2 linked regions of the Saccharomyces cerevisiae S288C genome follow. The protein of the gene in region 1 binds, or shares a complex with, the protein of each later gene. Each region holds a gene or a part of one and is shown in the gene's direction. Other genes may lie near its edges. The genes, in order: GTF1 and PET112.

Region 1 (16,560 bases):
TTCTTTTGTTTGTTACTCATCATTATCATTTTCAATTTCTTTTCTTCTTCTTCTTCATCCACCTTTCTCTTTTTGTTCTTTGACTTATTGACATCCTTATCAGCTTCTGAAGTTTCAGAATATTTGATACCTTGTGCTTCCAATTCAAGCTCTTTTTGAGCTTGTAGCTCTTCGTCATCGTCATCATCTTCTTCTCCAGCAACAACTTCTTGATCTTCCTCCTCAACTTGATCTTCACTTTCACTTTCACTTTCACTTTCTTCTTCTTCGCCTTCTTCGACAGGAGCAGTTGGATCGTAACCAATAGCATCACCCCATGGGCTTAAGTGAGGTGGAAGAGCCTCCCCTGGAAGATATTTGTTGGCAGGTACCAATTCGCCTTTATTGATACAATCAAATATCCACTGTGGCTGAATATACGTTCTGCCAGCTACCTTGTTTTTCAAAACTGGCCTGTCAACAATTTGATGAGTGACCTTGGACATGTCAATATCCTTCTTATTTTCAATTTGGTCCATAGCAGCTTCACTGATGACATTACCACCACAAGATAAGATCAAGAACTCAAGAATATCGATCGGAACTTCTCTGCTAACGTAAAAAACAAATGCAGAAAACAAAGAAGCAACAGGAGAATCGTACTTACTTGGCTGTATTAAGATGTCACCCTTGTTCTTATTGTTATCCTCGAAAGTATCTAGTTCCGTTTCCTCATTTTGTTCCTTTTCTTGTTCCTTTTCTTGTTTCTTTTCTTGTTCTTCCTCCTTTTCTGTTTCATCAGTATTTGCCTCATCGGCATTCAAGGCAGACTTTAATGTCGATGCGTCCAAACTTTCAACTTTTACGTCTTCCTCAATCTCAGTTGGGTCAAGTTTTAGTAGGCTGTCTTCTTGTCTGGATTCTAGAATATATGATGACAAACCACTTATGATTTTATCCTTTTTAAGATCCAATTTTGGCGGATAAATCAACCCACTATCGGTGTATAACTTATATAGGACGAAATGCAATAGAGTCGAGTAGAATTCTAAGAAGGTCAACATAATTCTGAAATCAACGTCACTGGGGATGTTTTCTGGAAACTTGAATGGAACTAACCATCTAACTTCTTCACCCTTAATATTGGCTTGATAATAAACACCTTTAATGGATACAAACACTTTACGAACCAAGCGTTCCTTGGCAACATAGGCTAACCATTGATTACAGATTTTCTGAGCATCATTGATAATTTTCGAGGAAACCTGGTTGGTAGAGGGCAAATTAGAGAAAAGAAATAACATATTCAAAGCATCATCAATATCCCTTATAGCATCTGGGAAACTTGGATAACGCTCCTTGATAATATGGTCTAAAGTATAACTATCTCTGTTTTCCTCTAACCTTTTAGCAGAAGAGACTTCTCCCCTACCCAAAGCCCTTGTTAGTTTCCTAGCAAAAGTCTTGTGTTCTCTAAATTTAGCCAAAACGGGCTCATGCATTAGATATTGAATATCCTTAGCATAGTAAAAAGTAGTTGGTGCAGTAGAGCCCTTGTTTGCCTTCTTTTTATTTCTTGGCTCTCTAGGATAGATACCTTTGAATATACATAATCTTCTGAAATCAGCAAGAGAAACCTGTAATTTTCTCACAGCTTGAGATCTGGTAATAAAGTTTCTTGCGTTACCTCTGGTGTTTTTCTTCTTGATTCTCATTGTATAAGTAGGATACCGCTGTTACTATACTATTTTCTACAGGAATAAAATGTATTCCACCAGCAGGATTTACTACACATCTCTAATTAACCTTCCAAAATTTTTCATTTTTTCTCATCTCATCTCATCGCAAAAAATTTTCTTTAATTTTTTCAGGCAATAATAATAGTCACCACAGACGACATGACATTATTCTGTAAATATAACATCAAGGAGGTAATAGTGACTAGCATTTAGGCTTTTAGATCGAACTATTTGCACTTACCCATAGTGCTAGAACGATGTACAAAACATGGCGTCTATGCAGAACACATACAGTGGGTGGGTTATGCCATGATGGAAGTCATCGGTTCGTATCTACGGGAGGGGCAAAGATTGGTAAAAAATTTGAAAATATGAATCAAATAAGGGATTATTTATCAAGACCTGTATGGTCCGTCCACGAATATTTAGGCATAAACACTAAAGAGGAAAAACTAGAGCCACCGTCTGCTGAAGCTGTAAAAAAATTGTTGCGGTTATCAGGTCTTCCCTTGGAAGGAGCAGATATTAAAGAAATTCAAATGCGACTTGCCAAGCAATTATCATTCATCAACAAACTCCATAACATACCTGTCGAAGGTGAAAAGCACACCAAGGAATATGATGCTCGGTTGGTGCAAAGAAATACGAAACAGCTGAACTACACAAAGCTACTTGAAGGCATCAGCCACCAAAAGCAGGATGCTGAGCTAGGAGAAGTTAGCGGATCTTGGAAAGCAACTGGACTTGCCGCGGAATCCAAAAATGCATATTTTGTTGTCAAAGAGGGACTACTCAAAAACAGGAAGTAAGACTTAGAAAAGTAACACATACGCTCTATTCTATATATTCTTTTGCCTATGAATTTTCTTGTACATGTACCACCACGATAAGGCTGAAATATTTTTCAAATGCATAAATAAGATTAAGTACATAGAAGACATAGCAGTATTTACAATATTTCGAATGAGAATGTGTCTTTTTTTAAGTGATTAAAACCACCTACCAGCAGCCTGAAGGCGACGCTGCCTTTGTTTCTCTACAGCTTTACTTATATACCATCCGTACAAGACCCCCATCATAGAGCCACCTAAATGCGCAGCGTAATCAAATGACCCCCATCTTAAAGCACAACCAGCTGCATTCCATGCCACTGAAGCCAAGAATGCTACCCAAGCCCCACCTGGGACTGGGAAAACAAACAGCAAAATTTTAGCGTGTGGGAATAGATATGAAAAACATCCTAAAACCCCAAATAGCGCTCCACTGGCACCCAAGCTAGGTCCGACAATGGCTAGGCGTGCCAGTTTTGGATACCATAACGAAAACAAAGAACCTGCAATGGCACTATTCATATATAAGGAGAAAAAATTGGATGCTCCCAACATTGTTGCGAGTGAAGTACCAAAGGACCACAACGCTAGCATGTTCATACCTAAGTGCCAGAATTCTTGATGTGAAAACGCACTTCCGATTATCGAAATTTTGCTAGTTACGTAATCCTTTTGCAGCAACATGTACTTCTGTAGAAACCTCCAGCATTTGGGTAGCTGCCATAGTCCAAATACGGCAACATTGATGCCTAATAACGCGTATACCAGATTCTTTGGATGCGTCTTAAAATACGTAAAGGGTGGAACGTGCTCGAACAAATAAGGGGAGCCAAAATATATTCCTGCCATTAAAGAGAGCCCCAAAATAGTCATAGAGCCCAGAGGATTGCCGCCGCTTCTCTGCTGCTGGTACTGCTGAAACCTGTTCAAACGTACGTATCGATTAGTAGTTTCTTCATTGAATATAGGCTTCCACCTTGATTTCAAAATTGATGTTTGAGAAAAGAACCGTTTCGGTATAATTTTCTGAAGATTTGTGACATTGTCCTCTAAGTTGGGAGCATTTTTGAGTATCGACGTGCTCTGGGATCTTCCAATATATGATACAAAAGTCCTCGAAGGTGAAACCGAAATATTACTGCGGAAAAAAATTCTTGTAGCAGGTCGAAGACCGAGCATAACAGAGCTTACACCTGACATGTTCACACTTGGGCAATTTATTACTTTTCACTGTCTGTATATGTCAGTTGCGAAAGCTGTACCCTTTTCAGTCGTGATTGCCACCTTTTCTATTTCACCGCCAATTATACTTCCAGACAAGAATTTAGGCTTTTTTCGCTCCGAAAATCCGCATTTATGAGAGTTATATGAGGGATCTTCACCAAATCCTGGCAAATATTGCTTTAAATATCTATATAAACACGTACAGATGTTTTAGGGTGACATAAAATTGATAAGCACGATTTCATGCTTCAAATTCAATAAGGTTGGACTTCTCTTCCGAGGAATTTGCCGACAAAGGCTCAAAAGACCTTTCTTGTATGGCTTTAGTGCTAGTTTCATTGGCATCGTCGATCTCAAACCAGGAACTTTGTAATAACTCTTCATTCTCGGGTTGATGCTCTGACGTGAAATCATCTAGATCATCGTACTTTTCTTCTTTGGTAGTTATTGAACTTGCAGCGGCTGTTGGCGTACTCTCTACAGAAGCAATGCTGCTCCTAGTTGCCACCGAATCGACACGACGACGAACTTGCTCAGCAACTCTTTTGCCGTCTGCCAATATACCGTCAAACATACTTCTGAGGACTTTATTTTTGTTATCAATGTTGACATGTTCGTCGACGTGAACAGATGATCGTAAAGTATTAGAAAAGAAAAGCTCGTAAGTTTCATCTGCGAGGATGATCATTCTAAATGTTGGCAAATCTATTACTTTTGGATGGGTGGGATCTAGGGCTGCATTTGCCTTTATGCTTTCCAGTTGTTTTTGTTTTACCGTTCGCTTTTCTTCGCCTTCATCATCAGACAAGTCAATCAAGTTTACCTCCTCCGCGAGATCAACTGCTTTAGCATATTCAAAAGATCTTTGTAGGAAATTGCTTGCAGCTTTTAGGTATCTTTCTGCTTGTTCAACTTTATATTTTTCCTCATCAATAGTAACCCCAGTTGGTAACTCGATTTGGTTCATAGTGGCTATCTCTCCACCGCTTTCCTTGATGATGTTTTCAGCAATATCATCTTCAATGCGCTTTTTAGTTAACAGATCTACATATCTACCGCTCTTCCAAGGTTCCGTTAGCAGTAGCAGCCCTTCCGACAACTGTAGCACTTCTTCTCTATGCAATTCACCATCGCCATCTGTATCATATAAAGAGAAAAAATAGTTTATAGCTTGTAAAAGATCAACAGTTACCAGTTTATCCAAGCCTGTTACCACATCGTTCAATGTCAACTCGCCGATATGAGCAGAATCCCAGTTATCAAATAACCTTTGCAGAAAATTCCTTTTTTGTTTCCGGAAAGCTGGATCTTTGTCCTTTTCACACGGTCTACAGGAGTCACAGAATTTACTCAAGAACTGAATGAATACTTCGAAACCCATATTAGATGATCCCGTTCCCATACTAATTTTGTAGGTTTCTATACTTTGGTAAAACATGTCATAGATATTGGACAAGTCATCACTGGACAGGTTGAAAGTTTTTGGCATATGGCGCAGTTGCGTTCTTTTCATGAAAGTCTCAATGTTTTGAAAAATACCTTTCTCATATTTGTGTCTTGCATGCATTGCCATTTCCTCGCTGATGACACTAAACTCTTTGAAAGCCGTAACTAACAGCTCTTGAAATTTCGTGATTTGTCTATATTTTATATCGCTTGAATCTGGGTGAGCACTTTGTCCCAGAGTTTGGAAATAGTGCTTAATTATGGCAATGAACATTCCATCATCATCGGCTTGTAAGATATCATCTGCATTTATCTTCAGAACTGCTAATGCCACCTGAAATAGAGTAATAGAACCGTTCATAAAAAAAATATCCATTATTCTAACAGCATATTCTAGAGGCATTGAAGTGAAAAACAAAGACAAAAACCAAGGTAAAGACACCACAGATAGTTGAATATCATGCTGTAAAATGTATTCCCAAAGAACCGGCATTCTGTCCTCTACAAAAGACTCGAACACTCGTTGGTCTAACAATGTACCGTACATCGTCTTTGAGTAATAACCTGGAACATAGATGTCACATAGATTACACAAGCACCAAAAAGCCTGCTCTTCAGACATAAAGATTAAAAATCCTGCAACAACTATATTCATGGCCTGGCAATATCCAACATCAGGGTTCTTCCACGAATAAGCTGTCAGAACATTTCTCAACCTTTGAATACCTTCTTCAGTCTGGTATGCTGAGTATTCGGGCAGCGATCTCTTCAAATCCTTCTCAATTTCGTCGATAGCTTGCGATGTTTTACCAGCATTCTCGTTTAATATCCTTTCGTACTCCCCAGAATTTGCATAACGCATATACATTGCACCTGAACATAGTTCCCAAATTTCACCTCTCATTCGATTTGGAACACCGATTCTGATTAACTTTCGGAACATAGGAGTTTGCACAACTGCCAAATTCCTTCCATTCTCTCTGAAATAATCGAACCATAGCCTCAATTTAGCCTTTTCTTTTACCATAGTAGGATTACCGGGATACTTGAAATGTTGTCCTAGACCTGCCCTGGGTACAGTTATGTCCTTTTTACCTAGAATATTTTTAGCAATTAAGAACTCCGAATATGAGGTTTCTAGAAAAGCAGGTAAAGTTTTGGCATTAGGAATATTTTCTTTCAAATTTAGTTTCAATTTGTCACAAAACTGCTCCGATCTATAACGTATACCGATAAATTGAATCAGAACCTTTGCTCCTGTGTACAAAGTTACTAGAAGAGCAAATTCATATGATTCGGATGGCGACCTCTCTACACGTTTAATGGTAGAAATATTCAGTATTAGTACGCACGATGAATGATCAAATGCATCTCGAAATACCAGAAAATGAGGTGTTAAAAACAATCTCCCGGAATACACATAAGCAGTTTTTCTCCCTTTATTGTTCACTCTATCAGAATGCCCTTTTCCATCTTTAATGGAAGTTGCAAATGAAACTTCTGCATTCGTATCTTCCAAAATGTTTTCATTAGCTGGAAGTTTATATTTTAATCTGAATTTCTCATCTCTGGTTAATGTTGGAGTGAAACTGTCTGCCAGTTTATCCAAAAAGGGTGCCTTTTGACGTAAAGAATCAAAAAATGACATATCCTATCCTTTAACTAATAATTGTATCAACTCTGAGGTTGTTCGGTGCTTTAATTGATGGATCAGTGCTTTCAAAATGTACAATTTCTTAAATGTTGTTGGGCCCTTACCAAGCAGATTTGTTCAGGCCTTTTCTTATTGAAGTTCTTTTTCCCAGTTGCAGGAGTCGGCCGACCTTCTGAAATAATATGCTGTGCATTAAATACTAACGACGCTGACAGAGAACGCACTAAATTTATTCAAATATGTATCATAAGATTGGTACAAATAACTATGCTACTAACCTTTATTGAGAGAAATTCCTTCCTCTATGGCTGAACTAATTATATGATTCATCAACTCCGTCATGGATTCAAAATCGTGGACCGGGTTAGCGCAAGAGTATATGATACGCAGTGTTGTTAAATAATGCGACTTAAAAAGCTGATTGTATGTGCCTACGTCAATTCCATTAAGCCAACCGTGTGCTAGCGGATAGAAGAATAGACCAGCATATTTTCTAAAGCGGTTTTGCGTTCCTTTTTCTCGATCCTTGCCTAGTTTTCTAGATTTCCATACTGTTTTCGTCTTCTTTATCATACTTGTTGACTCTTGAACTTCAACAAGCCTACTATTATGATGGCTTTGATCATCCCACGGTAAACGATTTGTTGGAAAATCAAACTTGGGCTTGACAATAGTAGGATCATCAAGCCCTCTCAACTCTCTTGCAGAAAGACCCAGAGCCGACAATAGTGACATCCTTTGCTGTAACGACAGTTCTGAATTGAATAGAATATTTATAGCGCCATTCACCTTCTCTGGAAGGACGACCAGTATGCTTGTTAGAGCGTTTATTCTCCACTGCTCGAAAAGCGGTTCATCAAATTCATTATTCAAGCACACAATGCTTGACAGAATACCTTGTGCATAATAGCCAACCTCTAACTGAAAATCCGCCTTTTGCCGTATCAATTTCACTGTTTGCTTCAGAAGTGGTATCAATGGAGCTTTTCGAGATTCCCCAGTTTTTTCGTATTCTTTCATTAAATCTTTTAAAAATACAATTCGTTTAACAATCTCCCGCTCATCGTTCTCATCTTCATCATCGCTATCACTGCAGTCCAATGTAAGGCTTTGAACATGACCCGAGACCTCAGTAATCTTATCCTTACCCACATCAGTTTGGGTATTGCATATGGATGGATTTTTTAAAGATTGGAAATCAATGATTTTATCATCGCTATTGCTTTCGAATTTGACATTCGGTATATTGATTTTAAAATCACTTTCGTACTTCAGATGACCGCCTGATAAAAGCTTGGCAATAAACATCGCACGCTCCCTTGCCTCACGTTCATTGCTACCTAAATGTTTGGTCACGCCATTCAAAAACCGCTCATCGTGTGCTATTTCCTCTCTCTGGGAATGATTGAGATTGTGCACTGCAAAGAGTACAAGCAATTCACATGTCTTTGTGTCTACTTCCTCATCTGTAAAATCAGCAAATTTACTTACCAAAGCGCTAACAAACTTCGTGGAAGAGTGGTTGCTCATCAGACGTACTATCACTTCCTTCAATGGCAGCGACTGTATTTCAAATAATACGGACAGACTTATGATTTTATCGAGATCAAACCGCCGCAGAATTTTCCTAACATCGTTCAAATTTTCTAAAGTCACGATAACTTGAATATATGGTAATAAAAACTTAGCAATCAGCCTCTTTTGATCTATCAGACTACTAGCAGATATGATTTTCTGAAAAGAAAAGAAATACGACTCTTTCAATAAAAATAATTCGCCTAATAACATATCTGCCGCTAGCACTGGGTTAAGCAAAAATGATGAAACTAACCATTCCCCTAAAAACCCAGGTGGATCTGTTTCATTACTCTCAAGTAGAAATTTCCACTGAAGCCGAAGGTATCCCAAATATTTCGCCATATCAATTCGGTTGGCCAACACATTAAATAACTTGCTCCCAAAGAAAAGGGCCTTAATGCTATCACGGTCTGCTTTGCTAGTAGTGCTTGCCTTTAAATAAAAAGTCAAACATCCCGGTTCAAAACTGATGATGTCTTCTAAAATTTCTTGGTATATGCGTATCTCTTGCAGTCCATCGCGGCCACTTATTGTCCTTGAGAAGGTGACAATTTGGCATAAAAATGTAAACGATTTAGAAGCTAGCCGTCTCAATATCACCTTCGATCTTTCTGGTAGTGATGGATAAACTGGAATTACGAATTTTATGAGAACCATCGAGGCATCTAGATCCACCGGTTCGCGAGGATAGGAATCTAGTTGTATTAAAGCTTCATGTATTTGACTGCTGTCAAGCCCTTGTTTCAGCGTTTCTAAAACCATTTCATGAGGAATTAAATGCGTATAAAGTAGCTCGATTCACGTTCTATTAGCGGCAACCTGTCCACAAGTACTTATTGTCTGCATTTCTTGGTGTTTGTTTTTATTTTCTTTCTTTTCAAACTTCACGGGTCTTTACAGAAAAGAGGTAAACAAACAAAAACAAGAACATGGATACAAAGCCCATCCACGTAACATTGCGCATTTGAAGCGAGAAGCTTACCACAATTAGTTAAATTCCTTTTGGAGGAATATAGACACTCTATCATCAGAAACATCCGAATTATTTTAGTTAGGACACGTTTCACAGGAGCATCTGGCTATAGCATATTTTTCTTTTCCTTCTAACTGCGAGCATAGTAAAAAGTTGACCTAAACCCAACATTTTTGAGGCTAACCTAGTAATAATTTAACCTAGGCACGAAGTGCTTATAAATTAAGGAATGATGGTAAAACAGGAGGAACCGCTGAATGAGATTAGTCCGAATACTCCGATGACTAGCAAGTCCTACCTTTTAAACGACACGCTTTCGAAAGTACATCATAGTGGCCAAACTAGACCACTGACCTCGGTGTTGTCTGGAGACGCCTCATCCAATTCTATTGGCATACTAGCAATGCATAATAACATAATACGTGACTTTACAAAAATTGCAAGCAATAACATAGACTTAGCCATTGAGGATATTACCACTGTTGACCATTCATTAAATTCAATATATAGCCTATTGAAGAGCCATCACATGTGGGGCCATATAAACTCCACTGTTAAACAACATTTGATGATAATTGTTAAACTAATAAATAATAACGCATTAGGATTGGCCTCCTCTGAAATTATTTTTCTTTTCAATGAAACGAATTTATTTCAAGCTCATAGTCTGAAAAACATTCTTCTAGCAGACTTCAGTACGTGGAACGACTACTATCTTTCAAATCTGAAAATATTAGCGCTGCAGATTATACTGAAAAGAAAGCTAGTAGACGAATACTTACCGCATATATTAGAACTATTTTCCCATGATAAAAGATATCTTTTGAAAGACCCTAACCTCAAAGCTCACGCTCTCACAAAAATCGTGCTGAGCTTTTTTTCTGTCACGACGAGTTGCAAAGTTCTATTCGGGCTAAAATTTCTACAATATATCAAACAGTTCAAATTACCTTTTAAAAAGTTCATTAGCAACATTACCGTCGAGTGTTTTAGCAAAAACCTTCTTCATAAAAATTATTTGGAGATGGGACCTAATAAAATATATTTAAATTCATTTTACTTATCCTATTCCATGCTGTACGATGGATTGGATAAAATAATGCTTCTAGACATTTTAAGTTACGAAGAAACTACTGAGGTACAAAGAGCGATAAAAAGTAAAAAAGAATTCAATGAATACTGCAACATGAGTGAAAACCGTCTTCTCTGGTCCTGTATATCTGTCGATGATTTGAACGTAATACTCGAAAATGCAACGAATTTTCTACAAAATAAAGGGAAACATATATCCGCAACATTAAAATGTTTAGTCTGTCTTTGGTCTACTATTCGCCTAGAGGGATTACCTAAAAATAAGGATATATTGAGGCAGTTTGATTGTACTGTTATTTATATCAACTCAAATATTAAATCCATTAATGACGAATCTGCGGCGGCATTATTATCCGAACTTCTGGGAGTTTTATCAGAAATTTGTATCGATTATAAAGAGCCTAAACGACTGTCAAATATTATCAGTGTCCTTTTCAATGCTTCTGTTTTATTTAAGAGTCATTCGTTTTTGTTAAAGACTGCTAATTTGGAAATCTCAAATGTTTTAATCAGTAATGATTCAAAAACATCTCATCGTACTATACTGAAATTTGAAAAATTTATATCTAGTGCTCAGAGTGCCCAGAAAAAAATTGAAATCTTTTCCTGTTTGTTCAATGTATATTGCATGCTACGAAATGATACGCTATCATTTGTTTTTGACTTTTGCCAAAATGCATTCATTCATTGCTTTACACGCCTAAAAATCACAAAATTCATCGAGTTTTCAAACAGTTCAGAAATTATGCTTTCAGTACTGTATGGAAATTCATCTATCGAAAACATTCCTTCCGAAAATTGGTCACAACTAAGCAGAATGATATTTTGCTCACTGAGGGGTATCTTTGATTTGGATCCTTTAGAGCTAAATAATACGTTTGATAAATTACACTTGCTCAACAAATATGAGCTATTAATACGAATAGTGTACCTATTGAACCTGGACATGAGTAAACACCTGACAACGAATCTATCGAAAATAACTAAGCTGTACATAAACAAATGGCTACAAAAATCAGATGAAAAGGCCGAGAGAATATCGTCATTTGAAATGGACTTCGTTAAAATGCTATTGTGCTACTTGAACTTTAATAATTTTGATAAGTTATCCATTGAACTTTCACTCTGTATTAAATCAAAAGAAAAGTATTACTCCAGTATTGTGCCTTATGCCGACAATTATTTGCTAGAGGCTTATCTGAGCTTATATATGATTGATGATGCCCTCATGATGAAGAATCAACTACAAAAAACAATGAATTTATCAACGGCGAAAATAGAGCAGGCGTTATTACATGCAAGTTCTTTAATAAATGTCCACTTGTGGGACTCTGACTTGACAGCGTTTCAAATATATTTTGGAAAAACACTGCCTGCTATGAAGCCTGAATTATTTGATATCAATAACGACCACAACCTACCCATGTCACTTTACATCAAAGTCATACTTTTGAACATAAAAATTTTTAATGAAAGCGCGAAATTAAATATTAAAGCTGGTAATGTTATATCCGCAGTAATTGATTGTAGAAAAGCACAAAATTTAGCATTATCGTTGCTCAAAAAGAAGAACAAATTGTCACAAGGATCCAGGCTAGCATTACTAAAAAGTCTATCGTTTAGTTTTTTCCAACTCATTAAAATACATATACGCATTGGTTCTGCCAGAGACTGTGAGTTCTACAGTAAAGAACTGTCTAGAATTATTTCTGACTTAGAGGAACCTATTATCGTCTACAGATGTCTGCATTTTCTTCACAGATACTATATGATTACAGAGCAAACCTGTCTTCAAAATATAACTTTGGGAAAAGCCAATAAGGCATTTGATTATCTTGATGCTGAGGCAGACATTACAAGTTTGACAATGTTTCTGTATGATAATAAGGAATTTGTAAAGTTAGAGCAGTCGTTGGTCCTATATTTCGGTGACCAGCTAGAAAAAACATTCCTACCTAATTTGTGGAAGCTTCACTTGGGTAAGGATATTGACGACAGCATTTGTCTGTCCGAATATATGCCCAAAAATGTAATCAATAGAGTACACAATATGTGGCAAAAAGTAATGAGCCAATTGGAGGAAGATCCTTTCTTCAAAGGTATGTTTGAATCTACCCTTGGGATTCCCTCTTCTCTGCCTGTTATTCCTAGCACGATGCCCAACAACATTTTAAAAACTCCTTCCAAGCATAGTACAGGATTGAAGCTTTGCGATTCACCAAGATCGTCGAGCATGACGCCTAGAGGTAAGAATATAAGACAGAAATTTGATAGAATTGCTGCTATTAGTAAATTAAAACAGATGAAAGAACTTTTGGAGAGTTTGAAACTAGACACATTAGATAATCACGAACTGTCCAAAATTTCCTCCCTTTCTTCATTAACTCTGACTATCCTTTCAAACATAACTAGTATCCATAATGCTGAGAGTAGTTTGATAACTAATTTTTCGCTAACTGACTTGCCAAGGCATATGCCTTTGTTATTCGATAAGGTATTGAATAATATTGATAATAAAAATTACCGAGAATTTCGCGTTTCATCACTAATAGCTCCGAACAATATATCCACAATTACAGAGAGTATTAGAGTATCTGCCGCCCAGAAGGACTTAATGGAGAGCAACCTTAATATTAATGTTATAACTATTGACTTCTGTCCCATAACTGGAAATTTACTTCTATCCAAATTAGAACCGCGACGTAAGAGAAGGACGCATTTAAGGCTACCGCTAATACGATCTAATTCAAGAGACCTCGACGAAGTTCATCTCTCATTTCCGGAGGCTACAAAAAAACTACTTTCTATTATCAATGAAAGCAACCAAACGACGTCAGTGGAAGTTACCAACAAGATTAAAACAAGAGAAGAAAGAAAATCTTGGTGGACCACAAGATATGATTTGGATAAAAGAATGCAACAATTGTTGAATAACATTGAAAATAGTTGGTTCAATGGCGTTCAAGGGTTTTTTAGCCCTGAAGTAGTCGACAACTCGTTATTTGAAAAATTTAAAGATAAATTTTACGAAATTCTGCATCAAAATCTTCCTTCCAGAAAACTCTATGGCAATCCGGCAATGTTTATAAAAGTTGAAGATTGGGTAATCGAATTGTTCTTGAAACTTAATCCGCAAGAAATCGATTTTCTTTCGAAGATGGAAGACCTGATATACTTTGTTCTTGATATTCTTCTCTTCCATGGTGAAGAAAATGCTTACGACGAAATTGATTTCAGCATGCTTCACGTGCAGTTAGAAGAGCAAATAAAGAAATATAGGGCAACTATGACAACTAATAGTATATTTCATACATTTTTAGTCGTTAGCAGTTCATGCCATTTATTCCCTTGGGAGTGTCTTTCATTTTTGAAAGATTTGTCTATCACACGTGTTCCGTCCTATGTTTGTCTGAATAAACTTTTATCGCGTTTCCATTACCAACTACCCCTTCAAGTAACTATTGAGGACAACATTAGTATGATATTAAATCCGAACGGAGATTTGTCCAGGACTGAATCTAAATTCAAGGGTATGTTCCAAAAAATAATCGATGCAAAACCTTCCTCTCAATTAGTGATGAACGAGAAGCCGGAAGAGGAAACACTTTTGAAAATGCTGCAAAATTCTAACTTATTCGTTTATATAGGGCATGGCGGAGGTGAACAATATGTAAGGAGTAAGGAGATTAAGAAATGCACCAAAATTGCCCCCAGCTTTTTACTGGGCTGCTCTTCAGCAGCGATGAAATATTACGGCAAGTTAGAACCTACTGGAACAATCTATACTTATTTGCTGGGAGGATGCCCTATGGTACTAGGTAATCTGTGGGATGTAACTGACAAAGATATTGATAAATTTAGCGAGGAACTTTTTGAAAAGATGGGATTTCGCTGTAATACTGACGATTTGAATGGTAATAGCCTATCTGTTTCATATGCCGTCTCTAAATCTAGAGGTGTATGCCATCTACGTTACTTGAACGGCGCAGCTCCTGTTATTTATGGGTTACCGATCAAGTTCGTATCATAATTGTTACATGTACTGGCTGTTTCGAAAAGATTTCATATAGGCATTGAGAAAAAGCATGGGAAATCCGATTTTGTTCTTATATCCAAAAATAATAAGTAAAAGAACCTGGGATTGATAAAAAAGTTTCATCTTTTTAGTATAGTTCATAATAGTAATTTTCATTTCATTATTGGGCACCTCATGGTGCGATACAAATATTTTAAGATTGCTTATATAATCACGAACACCTTTACGTACCATCCCAAACTACCACACAGTTGTTAGTTCACATACCATTGACACAAAGTCATAGCAGGAATTAAAAACACGAAACATCTATATTCTATAGGAGTTGCATTATAAAAATATGAATAAAAAACGGTGCTTAGAAAATAAACGGCGAACCATACAGGCTGTTTCTCAAAAGAGAACAAAAGTTAAGGCGTAACAATTAAGAATAAATCGACTGGTTTAGCTTTATAGTATCATTATTAGTTGAATCACCATCATCTTCTTGAATTCCACCACTCATAAATTGGTTAGTCATTAGATTACCACCGTGATTTGCACCCTTTTTTGAAAACATTAAACTATTCAAAGAACTAAATGATACGTTTTTCTTGTGCTTTCGGATAGGATGCACCCTAGAAGCTGTTGAACTAGAGGTAGTCAAATTTTGGGCGCTATTATTGCCCCGTTTATAGAAAGCAGGGTGCGCATGAGTCTTTTCAGCAGTCAAACAAGGAACATTGCCTGTGCTGTTCGTTTTCTTTAAGGTTTGGTATGGTGATTCGCGGTTGATCGTTGTGACGGACGAATTCATGGTAGGTGAAGAAGGTGCTGTAGCAGACTGATCGGCAGCAACAGTTTTAACATTTTGGTTATTGACCATCACCTTAGGTACAACGGGAGCGTTCGCTGTAATTGAATTACCTGCAGATGTACTTCTCATCGCTGTGACATTAACACTTGAACTTGAAGTTCTTGATAAAGGTTGCATTTGTAAAGGTTGCTGTTGTTGTCGTATTTGGTCGTCATTATAACATGGGCTAGAGCCTTCAGAGTTTCTCTGGGTGTAATTATTATTGTTGTTGTTCCCATGAAGCGGAATGGCAAAATAACCGCCTGAGCTGGATTCTGAATTAGAGCTACCTGGAGAATTCACTGGTAGGGATAGGGATGTGTATGAAAATCCAGGTAGGGAACTTGTTTGTGAAATATTTCTTTGGTGGCGCAAATTAGTTGTTGGATTAGTATTATTATTTGCTGTTGATTGTTGGAGCATCATCCCATTACTCGTTATTGATACAGCCGGGTTATACCCATTATACATGCTTTGAGGTCTTGAGCCCGATGAATAAGAAGGAGTTGTGTTACCTGAAGTGGCCATGTAGTCAGAGTATTGGTGCGGAGATTGTGCAGGTCTTCTTTCCACCGTAATCAAATTGCCATAATCGTCAATAGCAGGTGTATTAACCTTGGATCTAAAACCATTTCCATCAAAATCTGCTAGTGAATTGTTCTGAATATGAATATACTGAGGTTTCTCCGCCCTGCCCTTTAGGTTGACGGACGTCGTAGTACCGTCTTGTAATGTGAATGTGCTATCTGTTAAACAAGGTGTATGGGAACCTATGTTCACGCTGTTTCTTGACATATGTCCCGCCTTGAATCGGTGTGATTTCATCACACGGTCTTCGATAAACTTAATTCTATCTTTAGTGTCATTGAAGCTCGTTAAATTTTTCAAATCTTGGACCCAACGTTTAAAATGTTTCAATTCCTCTTCAGAAGGCTCTGGAGATACTATTTTAAAGGTCCAAGTCACATAATTGTTCGATTCCTTTTGAGCTGCAGCGTAAAATTGGTCCAGTTCACTTGATTTCGTATTCTTATTTTTGGGCTTACTTCCCTTCAAAAACTTGTGGAATGGGGCTTTTGAAAATATTTTTGCAGTCTCGTGGCCATATTTTGGTAAAGACGCTTGTGAAGAGCCAGATAAATAAGTGCTAGAGCTAGATTTTCTAACATCAGCG
Region 2 (16,760 bases), on another chromosome or scaffold:
AGACAAACCGGAGTTTTCCTTCTTCGATGGGCCTCCATTTGCCACCGGTACTCCTCATTACGGTCATATTCTTGCTTCCACTATTAAGGATATTGTTCCAAGATACGCTACCATGACAGGCCACCACGTGGAAAGAAGATTCGGTTGGGATACACACGGTGTTCCAATTGAACATATCATTGACAAGAAATTAGGTATCACGGGTAAAGATGACGTCTTCAAGTATGGTCTTGAAAACTACAACAATGAGTGTAGATCCATTGTTATGACTTATGCCAGTGATTGGAGAAAAACTATTGGTCGTTTGGGTCGTTGGATTGATTTCGACAACGATTACAAGACTATGTATCCATCCTTTATGGAGTCCACATGGTGGGCTTTCAAGCAACTTCATGAAAAAGGTCAAGTTTACCGTGGATTCAAAGTTATGCCTTATTCTACTGGCCTAACCACTCCCTTGAGTAACTTTGAAGCTCAGCAAAACTATAAAGATGTTAACGACCCAGCTGTGACCATTGGTTTCAATGTTATTGGCCAGGAAAAAACTCAATTGGTCGCATGGACTACGACTCCATGGACTTTACCTTCCAATTTGTCGTTATGTGTTAACGCTGATTTCGAATATGTAAAGATTTACGACGAAACCAGAGATCGTTATTTCATCTTATTAGAATCTTTGATTAAAACCTTGTATAAGAAGCCTAAGAATGAAAAATATAAGATTGTGGAAAAAATTAAAGGTTCTGATTTGGTTGGTTTGAAGTATGAACCATTGTTCCCATATTTCGCTGAACAGTTCCATGAAACAGCTTTTAGAGTTATTTCAGATGATTATGTTACTAGTGATTCCGGTACTGGTATTGTTCATAACGCTCCCGCTTTCGGTGAAGAGGATAATGCTGCTTGTTTGAAGAACGGCGTCATATCCGAAGATTCAGTGTTACCTAACGCCATTGATGACCTTGGTAGATTCACGAAAGACGTTCCTGATTTTGAGGGTGTTTATGTCAAGGACGCTGATAAGTTGATTATTAAGTACTTAACTAATACTGGAAATTTGTTATTGGCATCCCAAATTCGCCATTCCTATCCATTCTGTTGGAGATCCGATACCCCATTGTTATACCGTTCTGTTCCAGCTTGGTTCGTTCGTGTTAAAAACATTGTCCCTCAAATGTTGGATTCTGTGATGAAATCTCACTGGGTTCCTAACACCATCAAGGAAAAGAGGTTCGCCAACTGGATCGCCAATGCCCGTGACTGGAACGTTTCCAGAAATAGATATTGGGGTACTCCAATTCCTTTATGGGTTTCAGACGATTTTGAGGAGGTCGTCTGTGTTGGTTCTATCAAAGAATTGGAAGAATTGACCGGTGTGCGTAACATCACTGACTTGCATCGTGATGTCATTGACAAATTGACAATTCCATCCAAGCAAGGTAAGGGTGACTTAAAGAGAATTGAAGAAGTTTTTGATTGTTGGTTTGAATCTGGTTCTATGCCTTATGCTTCTCAACATTATCCATTTGAAAACACAGAAAAATTTGACGAAAGAGTTCCAGCTAATTTCATCTCTGAAGGTTTGGATCAAACAAGAGGTTGGTTCTACACGTTAGCTGTCTTAGGTACCCATCTATTTGGCTCTGTTCCATACAAGAACGTCATCGTCTCTGGTATTGTCTTAGCTGCCGATGGTAGAAAGATGTCTAAATCCTTGAAAAATTACCCTGATCCATCCATTGTTCTGAACAAATATGGTGCGGATGCATTAAGATTGTACTTGATAAACTCACCTGTTTTAAAAGCTGAAAGTTTGAAATTCAAAGAAGAGGGTGTTAAGGAGGTTGTTTCAAAGGTCTTACTACCATGGTGGAACTCCTTTAAATTTTTGGACGGTCAAATTGCCTTGTTGAAAAAGATGTCTAACATCGACTTCCAATATGATGATTCTGTGAAAAGTGATAATGTCATGGACAGATGGATTTTAGCTTCTATGCAATCTCTAGTACAATTCATTCACGAAGAAATGGGTCAGTACAAATTATACACTGTCGTTCCAAAACTTTTGAATTTCATTGATGAATTGACAAACTGGTATATTAGATTTAATCGTCGTCGTTTGAAGGGTGAAAACGGTGTTGAGGACTGTTTGAAAGCATTAAATTCTTTATTCGATGCCTTATTCACATTTGTCCGTGCCATGGCTCCATTCACCCCATTTTTGTCAGAAAGCATTTATTTGAGACTGAAGGAATACATCCCAGAAGCTGTCTTAGCAAAATACGGTAAGGACGGAAGATCAGTCCATTTCTTATCTTACCCAGTGGTCAAGAAAGAATACTTTGACGAGGCCATCGAAACTGCAGTTTCTAGAATGCAATCCGTTATCGATTTGGGTAGAAACATTCGTGAAAAGAAAACTATTTCCTTAAAAACTCCATTGAAGACTTTGGTCATCCTTCACAGTGATGAATCATACTTGAAGGATGTAGAAGCCTTGAAAAACTACATTATCGAGGAATTAAATGTTCGTGATGTTGTTATCACCTCCGATGAGGCAAAATATGGTGTTGAGTATAAAGCAGTTGCTGATTGGCCTGTATTGGGTAAGAAGTTGAAAAAAGACGCAAAGAAGGTTAAAGATGCCCTACCATCAGTCACTTCTGAGCAAGTACGGGAATATTTGGAAAGCGGAAAGTTGGAGGTTGCCGGTATTGAACTGGTTAAAGGAGATTTGAATGCTATTAGAGGCTTGCCAGAATCTGCTGTCCAAGCTGGACAAGAAACCAGAACCGACCAAGACGTGTTAATCATCATGGATACAAATATTTACTCTGAACTAAAGAGTGAAGGTCTCGCAAGAGAGCTGGTCAACAGAATCCAAAAATTGAGAAAGAAGTGTGGTTTGGAAGCCACCGACGATGTTTTAGTGGAGTACGAATTAGTTAAAGATACTATCGACTTTGAAGCCATTGTCAAAGAACATTTTGATATGTTAAGCAAGACCTGTAGATCCGACATTGCCAAATATGACGGCTCAAAGACAGACCCAATTGGTGATGAAGAACAATCTATTAATGACACCATTTTCAAATTAAAAGTGTTCAAATTATGAAAACAACTCATATAAATACGTACAAATTTTTCTCTACTCGAAGTGATATAGATGTATATGTGTAAGTTTACGTTTAAGTTAGAGTCATGTAATGCTAACTGTCTCCACCGATAATGTTGTATAATACCCGTGAAATCATAGCACATGATATATCATCACCCGGAGGCCGGTTATTTTCGGCGGCGGCAAAAATATTTGGTATAATTATGGAAATACAAAAAGGGGAACCATTAAAGGTTGAGGAGGGGATTGATAAGAGAATCTAATAATTGTAAAGTTGAGAAAATCATAATAAAATAATTACTAGAGACATGAAGTCTACATTTAAGTCTGAATATCCATTTGAAAAAAGGAAGGCGGAGTCGGAGAGGATTGCTGACAGGTTCAAGAATAGGATACCTGTGATTTGCGAAAAAGCTGAAAAGTCAGATATTCCAGAGATTGATAAGCGTAAATATCTAGTTCCTGCTGACCTTACCGTAGGGCAATTTGTTTATGTTATAAGAAAGAGAATTATGCTACCCCCTGAGAAGGCCATCTTCATTTTTGTCAATGATACTTTGCCACCTACTGCGGCGTTGATGTCTGCCATATATCAAGAACACAAGGATAAGGACGGGTTTTTGTATGTCACTTACTCAGGAGAAAATACATTTGGCAGGTAGTCTTTTATATGAAAAGAAATGAAGCGTTAACATCTAAAATCGAAATTATAGGGACTCATTAGCCATCTATTGTTCCAGTATAAGAATGTTTACATAAAAAATTCGAAAAAAAAAGATAAAATAAGGGAAAAATATATATATATTCATTAAGAAGTTTTGTACACAACGGAGCCAAGATTTCACCAGTATTTGGAGACAAATGTGAGCACGTTATGGTATTTACTTACAGATTACGATCTGTTCAATGCATCAGAAATAGGAAGAAATTCAAAATAAAATAAAAAAAATATTAGGAAGGAGTGAAAAAGCAAATAAGATGATACAGTAAGGTGGAGTTAATGTCTTTCTTCTCCAAAATGTATTCTTGCTAACCAAAAATCTGATTCTCTCTGACCTGTTCGTTTGTCTTATGTATGTAGAATCAATTTCTTACAGAATTTTAAATACTGTATAGTGGAAAAGAATAATAAATAAATACTCGACTATATTTACCTTTATCTTAAGGAAAAGTTCACTCGATATTCTTAACTTTACCGTCTAGTAAGGCCTCTTTATTACATTAAAATATACACGTACATTACCCTGCTATCTATATGTCGAACATGAATTTTTATTCTTTGTAGAAACAAATCCCCAAATTATTGCCGCTGTTCTTAACGTACTTTTCAATTGGATCATTATCAATTTTGTATTCCTTCAAGTGAATGATATCGTTGTAGGAAATAATGTCCCTAAATTTCCTGTCCGATTTGTACCATTCGTGAATTAACCAGGTCATTTCTTTATTAAATACGGAATTATCGGAATCTGATGTCTCGATTAGTTCTTTTAAAATATAGTACATTTTGTTGAAAGAAACACCCGCTGTTATGAATATAGAAACTATCGACCCTGATACAATATGTTCCTTAGGTAGTGTTTCGTAGAAAAAATTACAGACAATGGGAAAGAGTTCGAAAATGGGGAAAATGAATTCAGAATCCTGAACATTTTTACCAATTTTAATCAGTACATTAGACAGTAAGTTGATGAAGTTCATTGAATCTTCTTTCTTTCCGGTATTATTAAATTCCATCCTCAAAGATTGGAATAGCTCATCCCACTTGGCCATAATTACTTCATGGTCCCTAAAATCTGCTATCTTGAAAATGAATAGGGCAATTTCATGGTAACTTAAGGGTACAGCAAAATCATTAAACAGCTCACTTGTGCTCAATATTTTACCATCTAGAGTTTTGATCAGCTCATCTTTAATGGCTGAATCTATTCTTGCGTCTGTATACACGAGCGACAATATATCACCTTGAATACCAGCAACTTCACATGCATCTTGGATCCTACTAGCTAATTGTACAATTCTTTGTTTCTGGCTTAATGGTGACACACTGTTGCAAAAACCATTGGCGCGTGAAAGAAACTCAATTCTTTCAAACAATGTGATGTCAAAATTCGATGTAGCTAAACGGTAAAGAATTTCAGCAGATTCGAAAAATTTAGATCTTCTTGAATAATAGACCCAGAGTATATTAGATATCTTCAATGAACTACCTGCCTTTTCCATTAAATAAGGGAGTATGAATGGAGTTTCAATATCTAATAGTTTTTCCTCTCTGTTCTGAGACACAAGCCAATCATACATATGATAGTGGAATAATCTATCGTTATATTTTAGGGCGGCTTCATAACTTTTTTGTCTCAGTTTCACTTCATCGTCATTCGATATCGAAATTTGGTTTTGAGTTTTTGATGACTGTTTTTTTTCGGCAAGTTCGTCTACTTTTATTAAAGTATCAAAAACTAGGTCATAAACTAAGATACGTTTGTCGTAATATTGTTTCCTATCATCATTTTCTAAAAATCCATTTGCCACATATTGACAAGCTAGTTTGCCTTTGTCCATAGAGTTGGCAATATTCAATAAGAATTCAATAGATTTTGGGTAATAATTTACACTCAGCATCATTGATACAGCTTCTTTCAATTTCTCGATAGAAAGATCATCCACAATTTGTTCAAGTAAAGCAGTAGCATTTTTCAGGTGATAGTTTAGAGAATCATAGTTACGCAAGCCAATTTCTTTAGCCCTTCTAAGATGTTCAATGGCTCTAAATCCTAATATATCACTTGCAGAGCAGAATGATCCACAGCGTTCTTGTAAAGCTGTTGCGGTATACTCTATCGACGCACCTTTGGTGATATTCCTATTGATGATGGATAATAAAATTTCTCTAATTAATGATTTTGTTTTGTCATTTGGAGCAAATAAATCTTTAAAATCTAGTTTGACTAAATCTTTTTGGACGTCCAAGCTTACAAAACTGATTATATCCTTGAAACCAAGGTATTGGTTGTCGAATCCTTCGACTTCGCTTTCCTCGTATAAAACGTTCAAGAATGATAGACCTTCCTTTATGGACTGTACCATTTTGATCATCGCATTAATCGCTATACTTTCCGCTTGGTTTGCAACTTCTTCTGTTTTATCAATAACCCTGCCGTTAGAATTGTTCGCTAATACGTAGGGAGCTGATATTTGGGAAATTGAATCACCATAAGTGATGAAAAATTCATTTAAAATGTTAATTGAAGATAGATAGTACTCGATACAATCCTTGGAAATAGAAACCTTTGATATTATGTTCCTATTTTGTGAAATTTCATCACTTTTTAGGTTATTAATAGATGGAGTGATTGGATCAGAAGAAGAAATGAAAGCATGGGATGTCACCCTATTATCTGTAAAAGTCATGAAGACATGTCTCCCCCAAATATCTCGAAGTAGTCTGGTAATCAATAATGCAATACCGTAAAATCTGGGGGATAATATTACGTCATCTAAGTCAAAATCTTCCTTGTTTGCAGGGGAGGGTTTACTAAAGCCAGTTATTGATTGTTGGAGATTAGTTGTTGCGGTTGATAAAGTGGGCTTTGACAATAAAGAGGATACTGTAGATACAGAATAACGGTTGTAGACAGGTTTGATGTCAACAACGCCAGGAATACCCATAGTTAAAAAAGTCAGGGCATTAGATCTTAATTTTTCAGATTTATTTGATTTGCAAGTAACAAACAATGCAGTGGAACAAGCTTCCGCGGCACCATAATTTAAGACGAATGGCAGCGGATTATCGATTAGATCCTCAAAAATTTCATCAGGAGTACGATATTTATAAATTTCGATAGAAGTGCTCGTCAAAACTGCTACCCTTAAAGTTTCTGATGTGTACTGTGTCGCAAATTCGTTAGCAAATCCTTGTGGCTTTGTCGTTGCATTAAACAACCCCGATAAGGGAATAATTTGTTGAACTGGGCCCGCAGTTTCCAAAAACGTGGCATTTTCAACGTACTTACCGTGTGTTTTCAAGATACCATAATCTGGAACACTAACGAAAAGCTTATGTTGTAAAGTAACTGGCTGTTGTTTGACAGTTTTAGACCCTGCGGTAGCGGTCGTTCCAGTAACAGATGAGTTCTCTTTTTTTTCTTGTTGATGAGTTTGCTGAGATGACTTGATCACAGCGGAAAAAAATATGCCTGGGGAAATAATTGTACTTGCTTTTGTAGTCTCTAGTAATACAGATGATTTCTTTTGGAATTTTAAGAGGACTGGTTCGGAAGACATTAGATTTGAAAAGAAAGGAAAGCTTCTCTTCGCCTGTTCCTGTTGTTGATGTAGTAATTCTTGTTGGATGACTTCAGGAGTTACAGAACTAGGGGGGAACTTGATCGATTCTAACCTCAAAGCTTCGATGTTAAATCTGCCCATGGAACCATTAAAGTACAAACGCACACCACCTACTGTTAAAGCAACTAAAAACAAATTGTTGTTTTCTTCTGGTGCAACAGAGCTTATCTTGACAATTTTTAGGTATTTGGGGCCCAAAATCGGTGCTGCCCTTGCCGTCGTGGTACCTATGATCCTACTGATGTAGGCAGGCTCAATTGACATGGGTCCTTCCAGTGATTTTTCTGTTATTACGTATGCTCTAATGGTGGATTTGGAGGATAATGAATAGATGATTCCTCTTTGTTGGTCAATAGTTAGTTGCGTGATGGTCTCTTGAGAAAATCCGCCATTACCGTTAGAATTATCTTCGAACAAAGCCTGAATAAAATCAACACCTGGAATCTGCGATAACATGTTAGTAGGTAGAAGACTTAATAGGGCAGACTTTGTCAGACAGACCTTACTACATTTACTATTGAACCAGTCATCGGAACCTGAGTAGTGCAACTCCCAGATATTCAGGCCACTGGCTTGGCCTGCGAAGAAAATTCTACCCGATCTTTCATGAGACACAATGTCTATTACATCAATGCCTTGTACAGGGACTGATAGATGTGTATTGAATACACTGAGTTCGTTGGTGGCTTTGTCTAAGGAAATAGCAAACATGAAAAGCTCCATTGTCGTGCTTATCAAAAGTAGATGCTTCACGGCAGGCACAAAGGTGTTTGGCTTAGGTCTTACCAAGGCGACTTTTTGAATGGTATGCTTCATATCATCTACCACCTGATACTCATTGTCATTGTTAATATTCCAGAGTATCAGTTTATTATCAATAGTTATCCAACATCGATTTAACTCCGGGAAAATACCCATATCAGTTTTTGTCTGTGAAGTGGAAAATTCATGCAAAATCTCGTCCGGAATGTTGAACACATCTTGCTTTTCAAATGGAGTAAACGCTCCTAAGCCGTTTTTTTCTCTGCTGAAGTTATAATCTACCCCGCTGTTATAATAAGATCGTTCGTCGAGTACGGGAGTGTTACTATCTTTATGTTGTAGATGGTCAATGTACTTTCCCGCTAAGTCCAGGGGCTTAGAAGTCCCCATCCCGGAAACACGAATGTGCTCATTCATGTTGGACATATTAGGATTGATGCTGCCAGAGGTCGCCCCCATTGCGCTTGCCCTCATGAGTGGGTTGGACCCGGTAATTGGATATGAGTTTAATATGTGTGTAGGTTGTTGTTGCGCCTTGGTTGCAGATGAGGCCAACTCATTCAGTCCATTCCTGGGTACTTCTTGATGATTCGTTAAAGGGTACGATCTGCTATCTGAAAACGTTTCACCGGCAGCAGCGGGCCCATTGTTGTGGAAAAAACTTTGAAACATGAACAACCGCTAGAAAGAGAAGTAATAAACGCACTCTGCTTTTTTGTCCGCTTGTCAGATCCTAGGTTCCAGTAATTCTCCGAAAGAACTGTTCACTAATATGTTCAGAATTCTACAATATTAATGTCCCATCTCGAAAAATTGTTTTTTTTTTTACAAATAAAGTAACAATCCTTCGTGCAACACGATATAGAGTACATTGAAAGCGTGTCACAAAGAACACATCCATAATCATGGTCCATTGCAAACATTTCAAAGTAAAGAAGAGGATATTTGGGTCTTAGAATCTCATTGGAAACAATCCTCGTTTACTAGAGACGTTAATTCCACTTTCAAAAGCCCTGAAAGATTAACTTTCTGATTTTAGGTTTATTATTTTTTTGTTGTATGCCCTTGTTAAAAATTTAAATAACCCTTGTTTAGATAGGGTTTAGTTTTCCCTTTTGTTATGATAATAGTAGTTATAGTAGTAATAAGCTTGACGTGATGTACTTAGTCGTACCACCTAGTAATAGTGTTATTGTTAGCATTCCTGTCCAAAAAGACCAGAGTAGGAACTAGATATGTTGCGGCTTGCACGTTTTTATTCTTTGGCCAGAACCAAAGCCATACATAGTCACGGTGCACCCTTCAGGCCGGAATATGCATTGAAGTGTGGATTGGAGATTCATACGCAATTGAACACCAAAAACAAGCTTTTTTCACAATCAACGAATAGCGCCACATCTCTAGTGGATGCACCAAACCATCATACTAGTTATTATGACATAGCTCTACCGGGAACGCAGCCGGTTTTGAATCTGGAAGCAATCTTGTTTGCCATGAAACTATCCTTGGCACTGGGTTCTCAAGTGAATAGCATATCTCAGTTTGATAGGAAGCATTATTTTTATGGAGATCAACCTCAAGGCTATCAACTGACGCAGCACTACAGGCCGTTTGCTCGGGGTGGGAAGATCAATCTGTCGAAGGAATTGGATGATATCGATGAATCAGCCAAGGAAATCGGTATCTTACAGTTGCAGATAGAGCAGGACACGGGGAAGTCACACTATACAGAGACAGATAAAGACGTTATTACTTTGGTTGATTTAAATAGGTCGAACGTCCCGCTTATCGAATTGGTAACTAAACCAGATTTCAGTGATATTAAACAGGTTAGAGCGTTTATTAAAAAATATCAGAATTTGGTACGTCATTTGCACATTTCCTCTGGGGACCTGGAAACGGGCGCCATGCGAGTGGACGTTAACCTCTCAATTAATGAATATGCACGCGTTGAGTTGAAGAATTTACCCAATACTAGTTCCATCATCAATGCAATCAAGTACGAATATCAGCGGCAAGTTGAGTTGATTTCTGTGGGTGACACTAGCTCACTGATGGAGCCAGAAACAAGGGGCTGGACAGGCTCATCAACGGTGAAGTTGAGAAGCAAAGAAACCACGATCGATTACAGGTACATGCCTGATCCAGAATTGCCGTATATCAACCTCGCACCAGACGTTATCAGTGGTGTGAGAGGGTTGATGCCCCAATTACCGGACGATATAATGAGAATTCTTATGAAGAAACCCTATCAATTATCATTGAAGGACGCCAAGATTCTGACTTATAATAGTAACCAAAACGATATGTACAATCATGAGGCGTTGAGATCGTACTACTTAGACACCTTCCGTGAATTTTCCAAGCTTGCTGGTGAACGTAGTAACGCGAAATTACCTACGAATTGGATAATCCATGAATTCTTGGGAGATTTGAACAAGCTACAAATTCCATTGGCCAAAGCAAAAGAAATTTTGCCTCCTCCGGTTTTCGCCCAGTTTTTGAAGTTATTGCATGAAGAGGTTATATCCGCAACTAGTGGTAAAATGTTACTGTTTCACATATTGGAAAATTTCGAGCAGAGTAACTGCCAAGATTTGTCTATTCCAGATTTTTCAAAACTAATCGAGAAATTTGAATTGCATGCGATTAATCAGGTCGACCCTCAAGAATTGATGGATCTCTGTAATGATGTCATTGCACAGCACACAGATGACACTTTTATACGGAACCTGGTTACTGGTAAAAAGAAGTCCTCTTTAAAATTCCTAATTGGACAAGGAATGAGACGAAGCCAGGGACGTATAAAGGCAAACGAATTCGAGAAAAAATTCAAAGAGATCTTAAATATTCAATGGTAAAATATAAACGCCGCGTGTAAATAGGAACCGTGCATAAATAATAACAATAATAGTAATACTAATGATAATAATATACATAAAAATATACGTAAACATCTCAACTCCAAACGCTCATGTCAGTATTCCAAATGCCAAAGGGTCTTGATGATGCTGGTTGAGAGGATGAAGATACGTTCATGTGGTTAGACCCCCATCCTAAAGAAGAATCATTCATCAAGAGTGATGCGGACGAAGACATGTTCACTGGTGCCGTCGAAAAATCCTCCCTTTGCGATGGGGATGGTGAATGTTGCGGTGGGTTTATGTTGGTGCCAATAGAGCTAGATGTGGTGGAGGACATGAGCAGGGTTTGGCTTGCTGGTAGGAAAGATACAGTTGGTGGAGAATGTAGATCCGAGATAAGCGAACTGGACGTGGGGCCCACGGGTAAATCATTGATTAAATCGGCGGATGTCGATGTTGCAGTGGTTGGGTTGGTGTGCATAGAGTTGTTTGATGATGACGACGATAAATTTGTGGAAGCTGCCGAAGTTGACGGCAAAATGTATTCGAAGGTGCTTTGGTTGTATGGAGAGGATGAGTTAGAAGTGGAAGAAGTCAACGAGGGAGAGGAGTTCGAGTTGAAGTACCTCGTGGAGAACTGCGTCTGGTTGTAAAGATTGTTGTTGTTGTTGCTGTTGTTGTTGTTGTTGTTGTTGTTGTTGCTGTTGTTGTTGTTGTTGTGAGCATTGACGTTGCTATTGTAGTACAGTTGAGGGTACGTTTGCTTCAGATGTGCAGTAACCATTGGATTGGACGTATACTGGGGATATTGCTTGTATTTTTGCTGGTTCAAATTATTGTTAGCGCTAAATCTGTGGTGTTTCTTTTGGGTATTCATATATGGTACGTCATTAGCTCTGTTCTGGTTGTAAGCCCCGTACGGGGCCGATGGAATAGATCTGTTAATGGATTGTAGACCAGCTTGGTTATGTGGGTTTACACTGCTGTTATTGTTGTTGTTGTAATAGTAATAGCTACCAGTGTTGTTGTATTTCATGTGATTGTAATGGGGGTGGTAGTTCGACTGGTGGGAGGGCGCATTGTGAGACTGGAAGGAATTACTGGACTGATGAAGGAGCTTCAAACTGCGGTACTCCAACAAGTATTTATCCATGTCCTCGTTCTGCGACAAAAACGGAATGCTGATTATCTGGCCTGGCATATATACGATGTCTTAGTGAAATAGAGCCAAAAAAAAAAAAGAAAATTATTACAAAAAACCGAAACCCAAATGATAAATAATAATAGTAACAAATAATAATAATGGAAATCAAAAAAGTCGTATCAAATATTAAGCGAAGGATGGAAGGTACCTCTTGTTCTAGGTGCCACGATGCAGAAAAAAAGATCAGGAAAAACGAATGGGAAAAAGAGAAAAAGCTGGAAACGGGATTCTCTTTTTTCTATGCTGCTTTTGCTTTGCACTATTGGATAGTGTCTGTAGTATCTAAACTGATTGCCTATCTCTTCTGTGCTGGCATCTTATTCGATGTATATAGTTCTTAATATCTAGTGAAAAATTTTTGACAAATTTCTCGAGACCTGAATCTTCGACACGCAAGAAAAAATTGAAAAATTAACGTGGACCCTGGGAAGCGATGAGCTAGAGAAGGTAAATACAGGGTCGTACGACGCAGAAGCATCCCAAAATTGTTGCAACAAGTATGGAATGTCACATTAGAGATTTCCCAATCTTACATGACTCTTTATTGCTGTTTTGTAGATAGCCTTCCATGTAAAATGCATTTGCCGTCACATTCTGTGTGCGGTTGCTGGGTGCTGTAAACAAGCTAAAGAAATTTCGCTATCGAACTTAAAGAACAACGCAGTACACTAGTTGGGAGTGAAAACAGTATCATAGAGTGTGTATGGGAGAGAGAAAGAGTTAGATACTAGTAGTATGGAAGGTGAACAGTCTCCGCAAGGTGAAAAGTCTCTGCAAAGGAAGCAATTTGTCAGACCTCCGCTGGATCTGTGGCAGGATCTCAAGGACGGTGTGCGCTACGTGATCTTCGATTGTAGGGCCAATCTTATCGTTATGCCCCTTTTGATTTTGTTCGAAAGCATGCTGTGCAAGATTATCATTAAGAAGGTAGCTTACACAGAGATCGATTACAAGGCGTACATGGAGCAGATCGAGATGATTCAGCTCGATGGCATGCTGGACTACTCTCAGGTGAGTGGTGGAACGGGCCCGCTGGTGTATCCAGCAGGCCACGTCTTGATCTACAAGATGATGTACTGGCTAACAGAGGGAATGGACCACGTTGAGCGCGGGCAAGTGTTTTTCAGATACTTGTATCTCCTTACACTGGCGTTACAAATGGCGTGTTACTACCTTTTACATCTACCACCGTGGTGTGTGGTCTTGGCGTGCCTCTCTAAAAGATTGCACTCTATTTACGTGCTACGGTTATTCAATGATTGCTTCACTACTTTGTTTATGGTCGTCACGGTTTTGGGGGCTATCGTGGCCAGCAGGTGCCATCAGCGCCCCAAATTAAAGAAGTCCCTTGCGCTGGTGATCTCCGCAACATACAGTATGGCTGTGAGCATTAAGATGAATGCGCTGTTGTATTTCCCTGCAATGATGATTTCTCTATTCATCCTTAATGACGCGAACGTAATCCTTACTTTGTTGGATCTCGTTGCGATGATTGCATGGCAAGTCGCAGTTGCAGTGCCCTTCCTGCGCAGCTTTCCGCAACAGTACCTGCATTGCGCTTTTAATTTCGGCAGGAAGTTTATGTACCAATGGAGTATCAATTGGCAAATGATGGATGAAGAGGCTTTCAATGATAAGAGGTTCCACTTGGCCCTTTTAATCAGCCACCTGATAGCGCTCACCACACTGTTCGTCACAAGATACCCTCGCATCCTGCCCGATTTATGGTCTTCCCTGTGCCATCCGCTGAGGAAAAATGCAGTGCTCAATGCCAATCCCGCCAAGACTATTCCATTCGTTCTAATCGCATCCAACTTCATCGGCGTCCTATTTTCAAGGTCCCTCCACTACCAGTTTCTATCCTGGTATCACTGGACTTTGCCTATACTGATCTTTTGGTCGGGAATGCCCTTCTTCGTTGGTCCCATTTGGTACGTCTTGCACGAGTGGTGCTGGAATTCCTATCCACCAAACTCACAAGCAAGCACGCTATTGTTGGCATTGAATACTGTTCTGTTGCTTCTATTGGCCTTGACGCAGCTATCTGGTTCGGTCGCCCTCGCCAAAAGCCATCTTCGTACCACCAGCTCTATGGAAAAAAAGCTCAACTGAAACAGATGTATAAATATCATATAATCGTATTGTTTTAAATCATTTCTTTATACCATCTATATAGTACTACTAGTATTTAATGGTGCCGTTATTACCCGCGCTTGATTTTCCTTTTTTTTTTTGATCAAAAGGATGGAACAGGCTGAAAGTAAACCAAAAGGATCAAAGTGCAAGCAAAGGTGCCACAGAAAAGTTTATCAAAAAACCATACCTAGCTGTGAGAGTTTTAGACTCTGTTTTGGTGACTGCATATCTATTCATAAATCGACACGAACTTTTCGTGCAGGATACATAATAAAAATAGCATGGCGGTAAATCCTGAGTTAGCACCGTTCACCCTCTCGAGAGGAATCCCCAGCTTTGATGATCAAGCTTTGAGCACCATCATACAGCTTCAGGACTGCATTCAGCAGGCTATTCAGCAGTTGAACTACAGTACCGCAGAGTTTTTGGCCGAACTGCTCTATGCTGAATGCTCCATTCTCGATAAATCAAGTGTTTACTGGTCCGATGCGGTATATTTATATGCACTTTCGCTGTTTCTGAATAAAAGCTACCACACTGCGTTCCAGATATCCAAAGAATTCAAGGAGTATCATCTTGGTATCGCTTACATATTCGGGCGTTGTGCTTTACAGCTTTCGCAGGGAGTTAACGAAGCTATCCTCACTCTTCTCTCAATAATAAATGTATTTTCTTCGAACAGCAGTAATACGCGCATAAATATGGTGTTGAATTCTAATCTCGTCCATATTCCCGATTTGGCCACTTTGAATTGCCTGTTAGGCAATCTTTATATGAAACTGGACCATTCTAAGGAGGGAGCATTTTATCATTCTGAAGCATTAGCCATTAATCCTTACCTTTGGGAATCTTACGAAGCGATTTGTAAAATGAGAGCTACCGTGGATCTCAAGAGGGTTTTTTTCGACATTGCAGGGAAAAAAAGTAATAGTCATAATAATAATGCAGCTTCATCGTTTCCGTCTACATCACTATCGCATTTCGAACCTCGTTCACAACCTAGCTTATATTCAAAAACAAACAAAAACGGCAATAATAATATCAATAATAATGTTAATACACTGTTTCAGTCGTCTAATTCTCCCCCTTCTACATCGGCATCTTCTTTTTCTTCCATTCAGCATTTCTCAAGGTCACAGCAGCAACAAGCGAACACATCAATAAGGACCTGCCAGAACAAAAATACTCAAACTCCTAAAAACCCTGCAATCAACAGTAAGACGTCTTCTGCGCTACCAAATAACATTTCCATGAACTTAGTGTCTCCATCCTCCAAACAGCCTACAATAAGCTCGTTGGCCAAAGTTTATAACAGAAACAAACTTTTAACGACTCCTCCATCGAAACTGTTAAATAACGATAGGAACCACCAAAATAACAATAATAATAATAATAATAATAATAATAATAATAATAATAATAATAATAATAATAATAATAATAACATTATAAATAAAACAACTTTCAAAACTCCAAGAAACCTATATTCCTCAACAGGAAGGTTAACAACTTCCAAGAAAAATCCAAGGTCTTTAATAATCAGTAACTCAATACTAACGAGTGATTATTCAATTACGCTGCCTGAAATCATGTATAATTTCGCTTTAATATTAAGGTCGTCATCACAATACAATTCGTTCAAGGCAATAAGACTGTTCGAGTCTCAAATCCCATCTCATATTAAAGACACAATGCCATGGTGTCTAGTGCAATTAGGAAAACTTCATTTTGAGATCATTAATTATGATATGTCCTTAAAGTATTTCAATAGATTGAAAGACCTACAACCGGCAAGGGTAAAAGATATGGAAATTTTTTCTACTTTGCTGTGGCATTTGCATGACAAGGTTAAATCTTCAAATTTGGCAAATGGGCTAATGGATACAATGCCTAATAAGCCCGAAACATGGTGTTGTATAGGTAATTTGCTATCATTGCAAAAGGATCATGATGCCGCAATAAAAGCCTTCGAAAAAGCTACTCAGTTAGACCCAAATTTTGCATACGCGTATACTTTGCAAGGTCATGAACATTCTTCCAACGATTCTTCGGATTCTGCCAAGACATGCTATAGAAAGGCGCTAGCTTGTGATCCTCAGCATTACAATGCATATTACGGATTGGGTACGAGCGCTATGAAATTAGGTCAATATGAAGAAGCGTTGTTATATTTTGAAAAGGCAAGGTCAATTAATCCCGTCAATGTTGTGTTAATCTGTTGTTGCGGTGGTTCTTTAGAAAAGCTGGGCTATAAGGAAAAGGCTCTACAATATTATGAACTAGCATGTCATTTGCAACCGACTTCCTCGCTATCCAAATATAAGATGGG

The links.
Region 2: the proteins of GTF1 (region 1) and PET112 are in contact, whole or in part, in a crystal structure (PDB 4N0I), measured with the Saccharomyces cerevisiae proteins. Residues at the interface, in NP_011616.3 of Saccharomyces cerevisiae: Arg79 (codon at 2,210), Leu80 (codon at 2,213), Ser81 (codon at 2,216), Gly82 (codon at 2,219), Thr130 (codon at 2,363), Lys131 (codon at 2,366), Gln132 (codon at 2,369), Leu133 (codon at 2,372), Asn134 (codon at 2,375), Tyr135 (codon at 2,378), Leu138 (codon at 2,387), Gly141 (codon at 2,396), Ile142 (codon at 2,399), Gln145 (codon at 2,408), Lys146 (codon at 2,411), Gln147 (codon at 2,414), Ala149 (codon at 2,420), Glu150 (codon at 2,423), Leu151 (codon at 2,426), Gly152 (codon at 2,429), Glu153 (codon at 2,432), Ser155 (codon at 2,438), Gly156 (codon at 2,441), Trp158 (codon at 2,447), Ala160 (codon at 2,453), Thr161 (codon at 2,456), Leu163 (codon at 2,462), Lys168 (codon at 2,477), Ala170 (codon at 2,483), Tyr171 (codon at 2,486); in NP_009473.2 of Saccharomyces cerevisiae: Asn43 (codon at 9,589), Ser47 (codon at 9,601), Gln48 (codon at 9,604), Ser49 (codon at 9,607), Thr50 (codon at 9,610), Pro60 (codon at 9,640), Asn61 (codon at 9,643), His62 (codon at 9,646), His63 (codon at 9,649), Thr64 (codon at 9,652), Ser65 (codon at 9,655), Tyr66 (codon at 9,658), Ile69 (codon at 9,667), Leu71 (codon at 9,673), Leu78 (codon at 9,694), Asn79 (codon at 9,697), Leu80 (codon at 9,700), Glu81 (codon at 9,703), Ile83 (codon at 9,709), Leu84 (codon at 9,712), Phe109 (codon at 9,787), Gly111 (codon at 9,793), His163 (codon at 9,949), Val171 (codon at 9,973), Ile172 (codon at 9,976), Thr173 (codon at 9,979), Leu174 (codon at 9,982), Val175 (codon at 9,985), Asp176 (codon at 9,988), Leu177 (codon at 9,991).

Annotation. Positions count from the first base shown.
Region 1 is NC_001139.9:680,551-697,110, reverse strand, and holds GTF1 (glutamyl-tRNA(Gln) amidotransferase subunit F), read left to right. Parts: upstream 1-1,975; coding exon 1,976-2,527; downstream 2,528-16,560. Other genes in the region: mRNA-binding ribosome synthesis protein NOP7, read right to left, coding at 1-1,694; rhomboid protease PCP1, read right to left, coding at 2,708-3,748; GTPase-activating protein MDR1, read right to left, coding at 4,014-6,866; TEL2 (Tel2p), read right to left, coding at 7,146-9,212; ESP1 (separase), read left to right, coding at 9,653-14,545; ASK10 (Ask10p), read right to left, coding at 14,976-16,560. UniProt on the Saccharomyces cerevisiae protein: Allows the formation of correctly charged Gln-tRNA(Gln) through the transamidation of misacylated Glu-tRNA(Gln) in the mitochondria. The reaction takes place in the presence of glutamine and ATP through an activated gamma-phospho-Glu-tRNA(Gln).
Region 2 is NC_001134.8:67,398-84,157, reverse strand, and holds PET112 (glutamyl-tRNA(Gln) amidotransferase subunit PET112), read left to right. Parts: upstream 1-9,462; coding exon 9,463-11,088; downstream 11,089-16,760. Other genes in the region: isoleucine--tRNA ligase ILS1, read left to right, coding at 1-3,115; ubiquitin-like protein ATG8, read left to right, coding at 3,427-3,780; NUP170 (Nup170p), read right to left, coding at 4,391-8,899; YBL081W (uncharacterized protein), read right to left, coding at 11,186-12,292; ALG3 (dolichyl-P-Man:Man(5)GlcNAc(2)-PP-dolichol alpha-1,3-mannosyltransferase), read left to right, coding at 13,031-14,407; anaphase promoting complex subunit CDC27, read left to right, coding at 14,713-16,760. UniProt on the Saccharomyces cerevisiae protein: Allows the formation of correctly charged Gln-tRNA(Gln) through the transamidation of misacylated Glu-tRNA(Gln) in the mitochondria. The reaction takes place in the presence of glutamine and ATP through an activated gamma-phospho-Glu-tRNA(Gln).